2 linked regions of the Canis lupus familiaris genome follow. The protein of the gene in region 1 interacts with the protein of each later gene in a biochemical or structural test. Links are inferred from orthologs where the notes say so. Each region holds a gene or a part of one and is shown on either strand. Other genes may lie near its edges.

Region 1 (6,932 bases):
ATTTAGAGGATAGGGCCCAATTCTGAAATTATGGGTCAGAGCTCAGTTTTGGGTATCAGAGTGAAAAGCAGTTTTAGAGATGTGAGCCCAAGCTCAATCTCGGAGATCAGGTCAGGACCAGTCAGAACTCTGTTTGCCCCACTTGTTCTGGAGTTCAGGATCATGCAGTTTCAAAGCTCTAGGTGAAGGCCCAGTGTGGCCAGGTCCCCCAGGCCAGGCCAAACAAGAGCTGCCCACCCTCCTGTTCTACCCCACCTGGCACTGGGCACCCACCAGAGCTGGAGATGGAGCTGGCGGTGCTGGAGGAGGGACAGGTGTCAAGGGGTGCGGGCGAGGTGGAGGCACTGCTGCCTGCCGGGCCCGTGTTGGTGGCCTCATCAGCCGTGCGGCGGAAGAAGCCGTGCTGCAGAGCCCCCAGTGGGCTGATGCGGGCGGCGGGCTCATACTCCAGCATGCGCAGCACCAGGTCCTGGAAGCGGAGGTAGTCGGCGGGGCTGTGGCCCGGCTCCCCCGCCCGCCGGCCCCCGGGCCCGCCCGTCTGCACGCCCAGCACCTCCTGCAGCCGCCGTGTCCCGGGGCCCTGGTAATCCTGGCAGGGAGGGGGTGGGAGGGGGGGCAAGAGAGTGGCCGTCAGTGGGCAGGAGGGGCAGGGAGACACACACGGGGAAACAGAGGCACAAGAGAGAAAGTGGAAGGAGAGAAGCTAAGAAGAGTTGTGGGGTGGGTAGGAGAGATGGGGTGGGGCAGGACAAAGGACAGACAAGGGGAGAGGAAGGAAGGGAAAGACACAAGGGAGAGGAAGCAGGGAGAAAGGAAGCCCCAAGTGTGAGAGAGTAAAGGGCCACCAGGGTAGGAGGAGCGGCATGGGGCAGGGGCCGCACCTTCCTGAGTTCCTTTGTCCTTCGTAGGGTCCAGCCACCCCCAGGCAGCCGTTCAAAGTACTTGCGAGCCTTGGGTGCCTGGTCCAGCATGGGGGCTGGTGGGATGCCCAGCACCTCCACAATCCGGTTCATCTGGTCCACCTGTGAGCAGGTGGGCAGTCAGGGTCATCAGGCCAGCCAGGCCTCCGCCCCCTCCAGCACACCCCTTCCTCAGGAGCACACCTCATTAGAGCCACTGAAGAGGGGCTCTCCGGTGTGCATCTCCACCAGGATGCAGCCCAAGGACCACATGTCAATAGCCAGGTCGTAGGGTGTGCCCAGAAGCACCTCAGGCGACCGGTAGAAGCGGCTCTGGATGTACTGGTAGATCTGGGGAAGAAGCAGGGAACAGGGCAACAGTCAAGAGAGGTCCCAGCCTCCCCTAGTAGTGCCAATGACATACTCAAAGCTAAGACAAGCTTCCTTCCATGCAACTGGAGCATTAGGGTTACAAATCTTGAGGACATCACCCACTTTCCAGGAGGCACTACCATCACTTATTCATCAGCCTCAGAAGTCTCTGCTAGCCTAGTCTGACCCTGATCTTCATCCAAAGACTGACTTGACCCTCCTTGGTCATCAGAGGTTGGCAGTCTGCAAGACCAGGCCTTTCCCACCACCCCCCACTCAGACCCTTTCCAAGCCATCTCAAATGCCTGCTGACTCAAAGCTGCAAACTAAAGCACCCGTCCCCCACTTCCTCCCCAGCTTTCAGAGCACCGGGTAAACAAAACCTAGCCAAACGCCTCTCCAGGCTCAAAGCCAACCCCACTTCACCCTGCCCACTTTGAACGCCTCATAGCTGGCCTTGCCTCCTCAGGCTTCTCTTCCTTTCCTACTGGGTACTATACCCTGTGGCCCTCTCCTTTTAACCTCCGCACCAGCTGGCCTTACAACGCTAGGTCGCCAACACCCCATTCCAATACCACCCTCCAGGCCACCTCGGGCCGCACCCCCGCCCCACCCGCCACTAGTTGGCCCCGCCCCCGGGCCACACCCACGCCGCGAGCCCCGCCCCCGTCCCCGGGCCACGCCGCACCCGCTGGCCAAGCTGGCAGGAGCTGCCAAAATCCACGATCTTGATGGCGCTGCGCTTGGGGTTGCAGAGCAGGATGTTCTCGGGCTTGAGGTCGCAGTGAATGATGCTGAGCTCGGGCGTGGCCAGGAAGAGCAGCGCCGTGCAGAGCTGCTGCGCCAGCTTCCGCGTCAGGTTCAGGGAGACGCCGCGGAAGTGTGTGTTGCGCAGGAGGTCGTACAGGTTGTAGGAAAGCAGCTCGAACACCAGGCACAGGTGGTTCCGGAACATGAAGTGCCGCTTCAGGTGCACTGCGGGGAAGGGGATGGAAATGGGCCTGACGGGGAAGCTGAGGCTCAGAGAGGCCCGGTGGCGGCCGGGGATGCACAGTAGTAGGCAGAGGGGCTGGAAGCCGATCCGGGGCTCTGCCTCTTGAGCGCTGGCCAAATTGTGGTGTGCCCACGGGAAGCAGCTGCTCGTCAGGGTGTTTTTTATATGATCTGGAACTCGATTCACATCAAGAGAAAGAGTTCCTTGATTAAGAGAAGTTCATTCTTTCCAAGTCTCTGTCAAACTTTCTGATAAACCAGAGAACGTTTCCTTGTGGTGCTGATGGGTCTTTACTGCCCTTCTAGATTTTCTCACTTAATTTTGTAACATTGTTTTAGTCTCAGTTCTATTTATTTTTGTGGCAGGGGACACTAGTTTTCCATTTAGGGTAAGGATGTGTATTTAAAGAAACACACTTTTTCAATCCACTTGCCTTTTCTAAGAATCAGTATGGGAAAGAGGAAAAGACTGATGCAGATGTTATGACTATAGGCCTGGGAGCCCACTGCCTGGTGAAATTATAGCCCCTCTGAGTACAAATGCTGTGACTTTATGCAAGTGATAGCACATGAATGCCTCTGTCGTCGTCTCCAAGCTGTGGGCCAAGGTGCCCCTTCCCCCCAGAGCTGTGGTCAGACTGGAGCCAGTTAAATCAGGGAAAGTGCTTGCAACAGGGCCTGACCCTTAGCGAGCACCCAATACACTGTGACCAAAGCCATCATGGGAATAGGGAAACAATCACTAAGGCGGCAGGAGAATCGCTGATGTCAGGGGATTCCAGACCAGCCCCTGCCCTGAAGACACTGACCCAGTACTGTACTGGGTGTACTGCTGCCCCAGGCCTCACCTATATAGTACTTCATCTCTGTGTCATGCTGGTTCATCAGCTCCAGCAGCCGCAGCTCAATCTGGGCCTGGTTTAGGAAGGCCTTTTTGTTCTTGATGATCTTGATGGCCACCAGCTCCTGGGTCTGATGATCATAGGCTTTCACCACCTGCCGGGGCAGGGCATGTTACAAAGTGAGGAAATGCGGGGGAAGGGGACGGGGCACAGAACAGGGCACTACTCCTTTGTGGGTCAGTATCAGTGGATGCCCATGCCTCTCTATCCCTGGGTCAGGGTGGAAGGGGGGCACCCCGCACCTGGCCAAAGGAGCCTTTGCCGATGAGTGAGTCAATCTCATAGCGCTCCAGCCAGCGCTCGCCACTGCGCACAATGTAGTCATGGTTGTCATCGTCGTAACCATGGTTCAGGACCTTCTTCTCCTTCTTGGTGCTCGAGTCCTGAGGTGGCGCCTGCTGGGCCCGCCGCTTCTTCTTCGCATAGTATACCTGCCCAGCCAGCCAGAAGATAAGGATTGCTGAGTGCCCTGTGCCAGCTGCCAGGACCCCTCAGCACCTGGTTGGGTCCCCCGCCCACCTCATTGATGTGCTTGTAGGTCTTGATGAGGTCCACGGAGAGCTTGCGCAGCGGGGCTGAGGTCGCGTCCCGGAAGGCCAGGGGCAGCCTCCGTGGCAACAGCCGCACATCAGGCAATACCTGCGGGGTGAGGCAGGGCGGGGGGGGGGGGGGGGGTGCGGCATGGCACTGAGGATAGGCCTTTACCTCTAACAGACAACCTTAGGGAGAACTCTCTGGGTGGCCGGGTCATTGTCACCATATACACATTTTACTTGATCACTGTGTGACAACCCAACAGGAACAGAAATTCCCCAAGGGCAGAGACTGTCTTGTTCTTGCTGTATCTGCAGTGCCAAGTAGCGTTTGGCACATAGTGGGTGGTCATCAGAGATTTGCTGAGTGAATGAATGGTGAACTATTTTCTCCTGACCTTTCATCCTACACCTTTACTCCTTTCTGAACCTCCGTGGGAGAGATCAGATAGAAAACATAGGCTCTGCCCTTCCCAGTCCACCATCATTCTGGGTGTCCCATCTTGAGGGCTGCCATCTTGCTTTACCCTTATCCTGTGGTATCTTCCTATCCTTCACCCCCAACTCTGCACATTTTGCCCCAGTCTTTTGGGAGCCAGCACCTTGGCACCTCCTACTCCATCCTGCTTCAAGCTCTACATTTCAGAGCCCTGACAGTCTCCACCCCTGAATATCTTTACTCTGTAGTGTAAGATGCTGCTGGCTCCAGGATCCTTTGGACTCAGACTTCTCCCCCTTGCACCCCAACTGCCCATCTTTCACTCTGGACCTTTTTTCCTTAGTGAACATTTACTGGGTGTTTCCTAGGTGCCAGGCACTATTCTCAGCATTTTACATGCATTTCATTAACTTGCTTAACCTCACAACTATCCTGCGAGGTAGTTATCATTCTTGGCTTCATTTTAAGAGAAAGAAAACTGAAGCAGGTAGAACCTAAGTAATTTAACCCTGTGTCAGGATTTGAACCCAGGCTATCCAAACAGTCTCTGCCACCAACTTCTCTATTATCTTCCACTCCAGATGGGCTTTTCATGGCCCCAGGAGACTGCTCTGGGCAACCAAATAATCTTTTGGCCCCAAGACCCTTCTATCCCCAGCCTCCCCCTACCCCAGGCATGTGAGGAGCCAGCTGAACGCATACCTGCGTGTGCTCCTGGGGCCCCGGGAAGCCAGAGAAGGGACCATGGCCCGGTGGGACGGCCATGGTGGGCTCAGAGGGCCGCAGGGGAGCGAGGCCTGGAGCGGGAGCCCGGCCGGGGGGCGCCTTCTCGCATCCTGCACCTCGGCTGCCACCGCCGCTGAGACCTGAGAGCAGGCGGGAGGCAGGGGAACAACATGGAACAAGAAGATGTGTGGGACAGGGACAGGTGGGAAAGAGGTGGACACCAGAGAGAAGGTAGGGCATAGGGAGAGGAGAAAAAGGACAACAGGTGGCAATGAAGAAAGGGGACAGTGAAAAATGGTGGGGTGGGGGTGGGGGCACAGCAGAGTCCCTCAACAAATGATTACCAAATAAATGAAGTAGGTGGCACAAAGAGGGGAACATGTGAAAGGGAATGATTGGAAGCCAGGCAGGGATAAAGGCCATGACAAGAAAGGACAAAAAGACACCAATAATTGGGGTGAGAAAGAGAAGAAAGATAGAAACCACAGACAGTATAGGTTTGCTTCCCATTTCTATTTATGGCCCTCCCCAGGGCCCCCTCACACCAGATCCTGCCCTCCTGCAGTCTTCCCTGATTGTCAGGATCACCTCTTATCACAGCAAGGTCCTTTCACTTCAAGATCTACCCTTCCCAGTAGATCCTAGAGAAGTCTAGGATTCCCCTCCCCCCAAACCACAAGAGAACTCTGGGCCCCCTCCACACCCATAGCAGAGTCTTCTGCAGGCCCCTAAAACCACATCAGGGTCCTGGAGAGCATACCAAGGTTACCCTGTTATACAGAGTTGTCCCTATATAAAAAATTCCTACCCCTATGGCATTCTCATCCATCAGGGCACCCCCTTCCCAGGGGACCCTCCCCATATCATGCCAAGACCTTATCCTTATACCATTTCCTCTCACATCAGGGACCCTCCCCACCAGATAGTTTCTTTGTGCCACAAAAGGGCTCTTCCCCATATTAGTCCGTGGTCCCCCTCCCAATCAAGGCTCACTTCTTCTGATGGGAGCAAGGAGGAGCCGTCTCTTCCCTCGCCCTTCTCTCCCCTACACTGTATCTTTCCCTCCTCCCCCCATCCAATATTCCTACCAGGGCTCTTTCTCCAGTTACTCCTCTCTACACCAGGGTCAATCCACACCTGTGCCATTCCTAGAAGGCCCCCAGAAACCAAAATCCCCGAATATCACATAGAGTTCTCCCCTCCCAGAGTACCTGCCACACCAAAATCCTCTCCCCACAGGCCTTCTCCCATGTCAATCCCTTTCTCCTATGCCAAGCCTTGCCACTCCACGATCCCTCCTCTCTCTCGGAGCTCCCCCGCCCCTCACCCGAAACAACCTCTTCCCTGGGGCCCTCCCACAGCAGGACCGTCTCTCCCAGCACCCACCCCCTACCCGGGTCAGGGCTGGCGCGGGGCCCACGGGGGGCTGGGGCGCGGTGGGGCCCCCAGTGGGGTGGGCGAGCGGCCAGCATGGCGGCGGTGGCGGCAGAGAGGAGACGGCCGCCTGTCCCGGCCCGGCCGGCCCGGCAAGCCCCGCGGCGGGGAGGGCAAGCGGGACAGGCGGCCGGGTGGGTGACAACAGCAGCCGCCGCCGCCGGGGGCGGGGAGAGGAGGGAACGAGGGTCAGCCCGGGGCACGCGGGGGAAGGGGAAAGCAGGTGGACGGGGGAGGGGCGGGTTAACCCTCGCCCCGCCGGCCCCGCCCCGCGCAGCCACCCGCCCCTGGGGACCCAGGCGTCCCGCCCCCCACCCTGGAGGCCCGCCCCGGTCGGCGGAGCCCGGCGGGCGGGGCCGGCCTGAGCTTGGCAGTCCGCACCTGCCATGGCAACAACCGTGCCATTGGCCGCTGCTGCCAAGAGCTCAGCCAATCGCAGCTCAGAACAGCTGTTGCTAGGCGACGACGATGCAGCCGGAGGAGCCGAGCCCAAACAAAGGGCGGGAGCCGGGCCCCGCTACCCCCTCCCAGCCGCCCTCCCAAGGCTGCTCCCTCGGGCTCGGCCACTTCCTAGAATCCGACTATGAATAGCCAGGCACGGCCTGCACCTGCCCGCCGCCCCCCTGCTCTGCTC
Region 2 (7,657 bases), on another chromosome or scaffold:
ACTGCTAGCTCAAGGTAGTTTCTCGTTTGAACGTCGGAACTTCGTTCCTTTGGAGGATGGGGAAACTCGCTAAAGCTGGGTTAGGGGCGGTTCCGATTAAAAGCAAGTATCCTACAGAAATTACTGTGGCACAGAAAATGAGGGCGGAAATGCCCAACATAATTCCAAGGATCGAATTGCGCAGAGTCCAGCAAGTTCTCATTCCATTAGTATGTATTTAGGTTTATTCCAGAAGGAACTAAAATAATATTTTTTCTTTCAACTTATGTGTATTTTTCAAGTGGCCTCTAAGTTTTTGGGACATAAATATTTAAGAGTTGTTTTGACCCAAATACTTGCAAAACCAGTTAGGTTTTATTGGGGGGGGGGGTGTTTATTTGTTTAGCACACGAGTGGGAGTAGGAGGTGCCCTGAAATAATTTCGGAGACACTGAGGGTGCCTTGAATCAAGAAAGTTTGGGATCCCTGCATCATGCTCTTTACCAAACGTTGTCTTAGCAGCCCTAGGAGATATACCTCTGTTTTATACAGATGAGTCTAGAAAGGCTAACTCACGTGCCTGAGGCCCCCCGGGGGTGGGGCTGGAGGTCGAATGTGGGAACAGTGAACATTCAAACGAGGTCTTGTGTCCTCTAGGATGCAAACAGTTTCTCCATTTAGATTTGTCTGCGGATTGTGGGGAAGGGCACCCCTTTCTGTTTGGGGAGAAGCAGGGTCATGTTCCTGATGCGTCCCTTCTTGTTCATCCCAAAGGGCCCTCTCCCGGGGACCAGGACCGCAGCGTCGCGGCCGCTGGGGGCAGAAGCTCCGTGAGGCTCTGCACTTCCCCCTCCTCCCACCACCACCAAATCCATCAGGAGTCCCAGGCTCAGCCACCAGGCTGCGGGAGGACTCAGCAGCCAGCGCTCAGCGGCGCCGGCAAGGATCCAGGCACCGCCGGTGCCCTCCCTCCGGGTCCCTATTCTAGGTGAAAGTCACCAGGGGGCAGCGGGGGGCAGCAGCAGCCGCGTGGCCGCAGGGAGGAAAAGCACTGCGGGCAGGGGCGGTCCCACCTCCCCAAGGGGCCGCGGCCAGCGTCAGCGTCAGGCGCACAGGCAGGCTGTGGGCTCCGCGGGATGCTGAGCCAGTCATTTAATGCCTCTGAGCCTCTGTCCTCCCACCCGTCGCCCTGCGGAGGGGAATGCAGGGCCTACTAGGTGGACTTCTGAGAATTTAATCCGTTACTGAAGCCTATACTTAGTGGAGCGCGCCGCATACATGGTCCTCGTGCAGTGAAATTTAGCCGCCTGTGCATCTTCAACAAATAATTATTGAGCACCTCCTGTACCATCGAGGCAATGCTCTAAGCTCTGGGACTCTAGCAACGAGAAGACCGACGAAAAAGCCCTGGCTTCAGGGAGCTTGCACCGTAGCAGAGGGACACAGAGCATAAATAATACACGGAACACCCAAGGCAACGCCAGAGCAGCACTGTCCCGAGGAAAGAGAACACGAGCCCCATATGTAACTTACATTTTTCCAGTAATACTGTTACAAAAGTAAAAAGAAATGGGTGAACTTCATTTTTCTAATTTTTAATTTAGAAGATTTTATTTTTAAAAAATTAAAAAAAAAGATTTTATTTATTCATGAGAATACACAAGAGGAGAGAGAGAGAGAGAGAGGCAGAGACACAGGCAGAGGGAGAAGCAGGCTCCATGCAGGGAGCCCGACGTGGGACTCAATCCCAGGTCTCCAGGATCAGGCCCTGGGCCCAAGGCGGCACTAAACCACTCAGCCACCCGGGCTGCCCAATTTTAGAACATTTTCATCATCCTGCAAGAAATCCCTATACCCATTAAGCAGTCCCTCCCTCTTCCCCTCCCCTCAACACCCTACCCCACCCTCAACCACTAATCTACTTTCTGTCTGGTATGGATTTGCCTCTTCTGGATATTTCCTATAAATGGAATCACGTGTGGCCTTTGGTGACTGGCTTCTTTCACTTTACATAGTACTTTCAGGGGGTCACTCACGCTGTACCAAGTGTCTGCGTCTTGTTCCTTTTTATGGCCGAATAATACACAGTTGCATGGATACACCACATTTTACTTATCTGTCCATTGCTGGATATTTATGCTTCTCCCCCTTTTTGGTTATCATGAATGATGCTGCTGTGAACATTCACATGCAAGCTTTTGCAAGAACATGTTTTTAATTCTTTGGGGGTTGGCATTAATTTTGATTTTTAATATATTGTAGAAAAAGGTTTTCTCGATGACTGAGTTTTTGGATGCCCCTTAAACAATTTATACTTGAGGCAAGTGCCTGCCTGGCCTCCTCTGGTTCCCACCTTATAAGCCTTGTCCTTTGCTAGCAGTGTGGTTTTGGGCAAGCTGTTCAGCCTCTCAGAGTCTTGGTTTTCTGGTCTGTAAAACAGAGATGATCCCTATACCCACTCACAGCTATTAGGGGGCTACAATGAGGCAATGTCACATTTCCCAGACCAGCACACAGTCGACTTAAGTCAATGTGTCTTTCCTACAGAGAGGCCTGGTGTTGGGCCTGGAGAGGTGGGTCCCAACATGGCTGTGACCTAGCACTGACCTTGAAGAAAGCTGGCCCACCTGCCTCGAACCGCTTCTTGCTCCAGTTCCCAAGGGAAAGCTGCTCTTTTTTTTTTTTTTTTCCTTCCCTCTCCTGCCTCAGCCTGAGCCCCCCGTCAAAGTCCTCGGGGGCGGGACCCCAAGCTGTTACCAAAAGGCCTCCGTGGCCCCCCAACCCTTCCATCCCGGCTGCCCTGCACCCCCTCCCCCCTGCTCCCCCCCCACTCCCGTTGAAGGCCTCGGCTCCCCCATCCCTCTGCACTGCCATGAGGCCTGCACTTTGCAGGGCTGAAGTCCAAAGTTCAGTCCTTTTGCTAAGCACACGGATAAATATGAACCTTGGAGAATTTCCCCAGCTCCAATGTAAACAGAGCGGGCAGGGGCCCTGATTCACTGGCCGGCTGGGGCCAGGGTTGGGGGTTGGGGGTGCCCACGGGGCTTGGTTAGTGGGGTTTGGGGGGGCAGTAGGTGCAAGGAGCCTGGTTTGTGGCTGCCTGCCGGTCGGCCAGCAGGTCGACAGCCCGCTGGGTGGGGGAGGCGGCCGGTTTGGTGGCCCCGGGCCGCGTGGCCCAGTGGCGGCAGAGCCATGGTTTCTAAACTGAGCCAGCTGCAGACGGAGCTCCTGGCGGCCCTGCTCCACTCGGGCCTGAGCAAAGAGGCACTGATCCAGGCGTTGGGTGAGCCGGGGCCCTACCTGCTGGCTGGAGATGGCCCCCTGGACAAGGGGGAGTCCTGCGGCGGCGGTCGGGGGGAGCTGGCCGAGCTGCCCAACGGGCTGGGGGAGGCGAGGGGCTCCGAGGACGAGACGGACGACGATGGGGAAGACTTCACACCGCCCATCCTCAAGGAGCTGGAGAACCTCAGCCCCGAGGAGGCGGCCCACCAGAAAGCCGTGGTGGAGACCTTGCTGCAGTAAGGACCCCTTCCCCATCCCCGGCATCCAAGGAGCCTAGGGACCCCCCCCCCCCCAGCTCCTGACTGGACCTTCCTCCGAGTCCAGCTTTCCACGAGCTCTAGTTTTTAGCCTGGCTGCCGGGAAGGGCCACAGGGCCCGTCAGAGCTCCGGGCGTCCTTGCTCCCCGGTGGCGGTGGCGGGAGCCTACGAGCCCCTAACCAGGCCCTCTGCAAGGTCGGGAGTCCCCAGGAGCCAAGGCTTTCAGCCCAGAGCCAGGAAGCAAGCCCGTGGCCCGGGGGAGCTCTGAGATGGGGACAGAGCAGGCACGTCTGTAATTCATGTGCCTGGAGAACCGGAGGGTGGTGGCAATGGTCAGTCACCATGGCCCTTTCTACTCCCCCAACCCTCCCCTCCCTGCTAGGCATTCCAGTTGCAGGCTCTGGGGCCCGGAAGCACTGTTAGTGAGAGGGGGGCCGAGGCTGGGGTTTTAGGGGCTCCCTCGGCCACCTAGGGACTCAAGCATTAAGCTAGGAAAGCCCAGGTCTTACCTGAGGGAGATGGAGCCTAGGGGCAGGACCTGCTCCCCTTTCCTGCACAGCTTCAGCCCCTCCGCCTCACCGGCAGGCACCCTGAGAGGTCTCCCTGTTGTGCACCCCCATCCGCTGGCTGGTTCCCCAAGTCCCAGAGAACTGGGTGGGTCTGAGCCCGATGCCTCCCCTCTCCTCAGCAGAGCTGACCTGGTTACTAATTACCCATGAGCTTTATTATTTCTCTTTTGTTTTATAAATTTATAAACGGTAAAAGGCTCTGATAAGGCCTGTGATCATTAACTTGTAAAGATGGTGGCCTGGGGAGGCCTGGGCCAACCAACCCTCCTACCCAAAGGGGCGGGGGGAAAGGGGTCTAGGGGCTGTGGGGACTGCCCTCCCCAAGGCTCCTAAGCTCCAATCCTAACAGCCAGGCCCCAAGCTGAGGTTTCAGGTGCATATGGTCGGATAATGTTGGGATGAACGGCGGCTGACTAGTTAGCTAGGGATAACTGCTTCACAGCTGGGGAAACTGAGGCCCAGCGAGGGGAAGTAGCTCGACTAAGGCCACCCACTGGCGCTCCACAGCCGCTCTGCTTGGTGCTCTCAATTGCGGCGGCTGGGCAGTGGGAGAAAGAGTCCCAAACAGACTCTCTACGGGACCTTTTCTGTCCAAGGTCCTGATCCCAGCTTGGGGTGGGGGGAGCCCTCAGGGTCTGCCGGGCCTTGTGAGGGCCTGGGCAGGGGGCAAGGGAGCAGCCAGGGCCCCCTGACTTGGCAGGAAGAAGAGGGCAAAGGGCCCTGCTGCGCTGCAGGGGAGGGGCAAAGAGTCAGGCATTGCCAGACCCAGGGCGAGGGCGACAGGGGACAGGGTGGGGCCGGGCCAGACCTGCTCCGGGGCCCAGATAGCACTGGGGGCTTTCGGGTGGGAGTGGGGGCAGGGGGTGCCAAGGGCCTTTCTTACCTGGCTGGGTGGGGCCTCTTGATCAGCAGCCCCTTTGGTGGCATGGTGAGTAGGGGGGAGGCTTCATCCATAGCACCCGAGGGGGGAGCAGGGGTCAAAGTGCTCCCTGGGAGCCAGCAGAGACCTGGAAGCTGAGGGAGATCGGGGAGCTGTGGAGGAAGAGGGAGGGCGTGGGGTTGGGGGGGAGATGGAGAGGCCTGGAGAAGGAGAGGAGAGCAGAAGAGCCGGGAGGGCCGAGGGGCTCCCACCCAGCTGGGAGAAGGGGCTGGGGAGAGAGTGAGACACCCCAAGCTGCAGAGAAGGCTGGAGTGCTTCCCGCCTGACCCGATTGGGTTTTCTTTAATGCTAACAGCATGCTATTTACTTTCCATTTAAATTTGAGATGTTGCTATAAATTATCAACCAGCTCCTTGTTCCTGCGGAGTTTATAACTAACTACCTGGGTTACTTATTGTTCAGGTAACAAAAGGGATCTGAAAACGCCCCGAGGGAAAAAAGTGGGGCCTCTACCCTCAGGACCCAGGAGGGAGTGGGGTGGGCACCCCTGATGAAAGCCTGGACAGCAGGGCTGGAGGAGCTTAAGGCTGGAAAGGATGGTGCAGAGGCAGGGTTGCCAGTGGACGCCATTTCTCTGGAGAGGACGGTGTGTGGGAAGGGGCAGGGTGGGTCCTGCCCCCCGCCCCGGGTACCTCGTGCCTGAGGCCACAGCAGGAGCCTGAGCTCTTCTCAGACCCCCACCCCCCTTAGTTCACTGTGTGACCTTGGGCAAGTATCATCTCCTGCCTCATTTTCCCTAATTGGCCAGTGAATAAAATTCAAATTCCCTGTCCTGGTTCCCTGACCTCTTCTCAAGGGACCTCTGTGCCTCCCTCACATCCCTCCCAGGACCCCCAGGAGGGTCGACTGACTTTGCTGATTCCCACCTCAGGGTCTTTGCATGTGCTGCTCCTTCTGCCTGGACACTTCTTTCTAGATCTTCCCATGACCAATGCCCTCTCCTCCTTTTGCTCAAGGGTCATCTCCTCAGGGAGGCCCTCCCTCACTGCCCCCATCTAAAAGCAGGTCCCACCAGAGTCACTCTCTCTTTCACTACCTTCTGTTACTTTCTCTTGTCCCTTAACTTTACGTACGATTGTTTTTGTCTGGTTTCTAACTCCTGCCATGAAAATAGAAGCTGTTCAAAGACAAGATCTGTGGGGTCTTGTTCACCACTCGTACCCCCGATATGCAGCCCAGTGGCTAAAATACAGCATGAATGAATGAATGAGTGGCGAGGATTCCCTGAAGCCCTGGGGACATCTGCTGTTATGGCCAAGGGAGGAACCTGTACCCAGGGCTCCTTCCTGGGTGTCCTCTTGGCTCCTCCCTGTCCCTGAGCCGCCTGAACTTCAACCTGAGGGATGATGTCCTGGGTCCCCTCCATCAGGCAGCACCAGGTCTTTGAGACCCAGGAAGACAGTGGCCACGGTGGGACAATCTGATATCCCTGACTGAGGCCGACCTGCCCGGGTTCAAATCCCAACTCAGCCCGACCCTGACTTGGGCAGGTGATTTCACGTCCCTGAGCCCTGTGCCCTCTGCAAGGCATGGATGACGATAGCACTTACCCACAGGGTCAAGCAGCATGCAGGCGCAGTGAACGGTTGCTAGGAGTAATAGTCCCATTTTACAGATAAGCAAACTAAGCCTCAGAGAGGCAGTGACATGCCCAAGATAATTTATGAAGCAGTAAGGCCAGGACTTGGACCCAGGCCGCCCTAATCCCACGCTCTGCACAGCATCCTTGAGGTTGCATGCTGACCGCGCTGTCCTTATAGGTCTATTTCTCTTTTTATCCTCTCGTCATTCTGCTGTTAACCTCACATCCACTCACTTCCACGTGGTGCTCGAGAGCTCCCGACCACTTACAAATGCGTTAAACTTGTTTTCTCCTCCTGGCAACTTATGAAATTCTTTTGGCCGTGTATCACGGTTGGGGAAACTGAGGCACACAGAGGTTGAGCAGTTTCCCAAGGCCACCTGGATAGTGCGTGGCAGAGCTGGGATTTGACCCGAGCTGGGAAGCTTCTCTGAGCTCCCCCAACCTCCATGCACTGAGAACTCCACTCCCCCTCCAGACTCGTGGCCCTTCCCACTGGTTTCTGAGCTCCATAGCCCTTGGACCCTCTGAAGTCCCAGGGGCCAGCGAGCCAAAGGCCCAAAGTCTTGAACTTCTGATTGATCCCTCCCAGAACCCATAAGAGGTGGGAGGAGGAGATGTGGGCAGATCTTCACGTCTCCTGGGTCCGCTTCCCTCTGCATCAGGGCTGGGAGGCCCATGACCACATCATCCCTGATGACGACGATGTTGATGGTGACAAATTGTTGTACTTACTGAGCACTTACCATGTATCAAGCCTCGCTCCTCCCAGGGGCACTGTGAGGCAGGCGTGGGCTTATGGCACCATCCTGAGGAGGCATGCGGCATACACGCGGGAGGTGCTAGGGCACCACGGTGGGAGGTGAACCCAGGTTGGCTTGACCCTTAAACCCACTGGAGAGAAAGCAGGAGATACCTGGAGACATGGTGCATTAGTTCTGGGTTGGGGAAACTGTCCTGGGAAGAGTCAGGTCCCTGGAGACTGGGGGTGAGTGAATGTGTGTGGTGGGGGAAAGAGACAGAACGAACAACAGAGACACATGCAGA

Evidence for each region.
Region 2: of the proteins of DYRK1B (region 1) and HNF1A, one has a biochemical effect on the other in vitro, tested with the Homo sapiens proteins (2 studies listed by IntAct, with this or other methods). The link is inferred for Canis lupus familiaris from reciprocal best matches to the Homo sapiens genes DYRK1B and HNF1A.

Annotation. Positions count from the first base shown.
Region 1 is NC_049222.1:114,430,796-114,437,727, reverse strand, and holds part of DYRK1B (dual specificity tyrosine-phosphorylation-regulated kinase 1B), read right to left. Parts: intron 5,987-6,932; exon of another isoform or gene 5,953-5,986; intron 5,005-5,952; 5' UTR 4,904-5,004; coding exon 4,841-4,903; intron 3,806-4,840; coding exon 3,686-3,805; intron 3,598-3,685; coding exon 3,409-3,597; intron 3,261-3,408; coding exon 3,113-3,260; intron 2,247-3,112; coding exon 1,960-2,246; intron 1,251-1,959; coding exon 1,104-1,250; intron 1,023-1,103; coding exon 882-1,022; intron 590-881; coding exon 274-589; intron 1-273.
Region 2 is NC_049247.1:17,147,060-17,154,716, forward strand, and holds the start of HNF1A (hepatocyte nuclear factor 1-alpha), read left to right. Parts: upstream 1-3,171; coding exon 3,172-3,497; intron 3,498-4,028; exon of another isoform or gene 4,029-7,657. UniProt on the Homo sapiens protein: Transcriptional activator that regulates the tissue specific expression of multiple genes, especially in pancreatic islet cells and in liver. Binds to the inverted palindrome 5'-GTTAATNATTAAC-3'.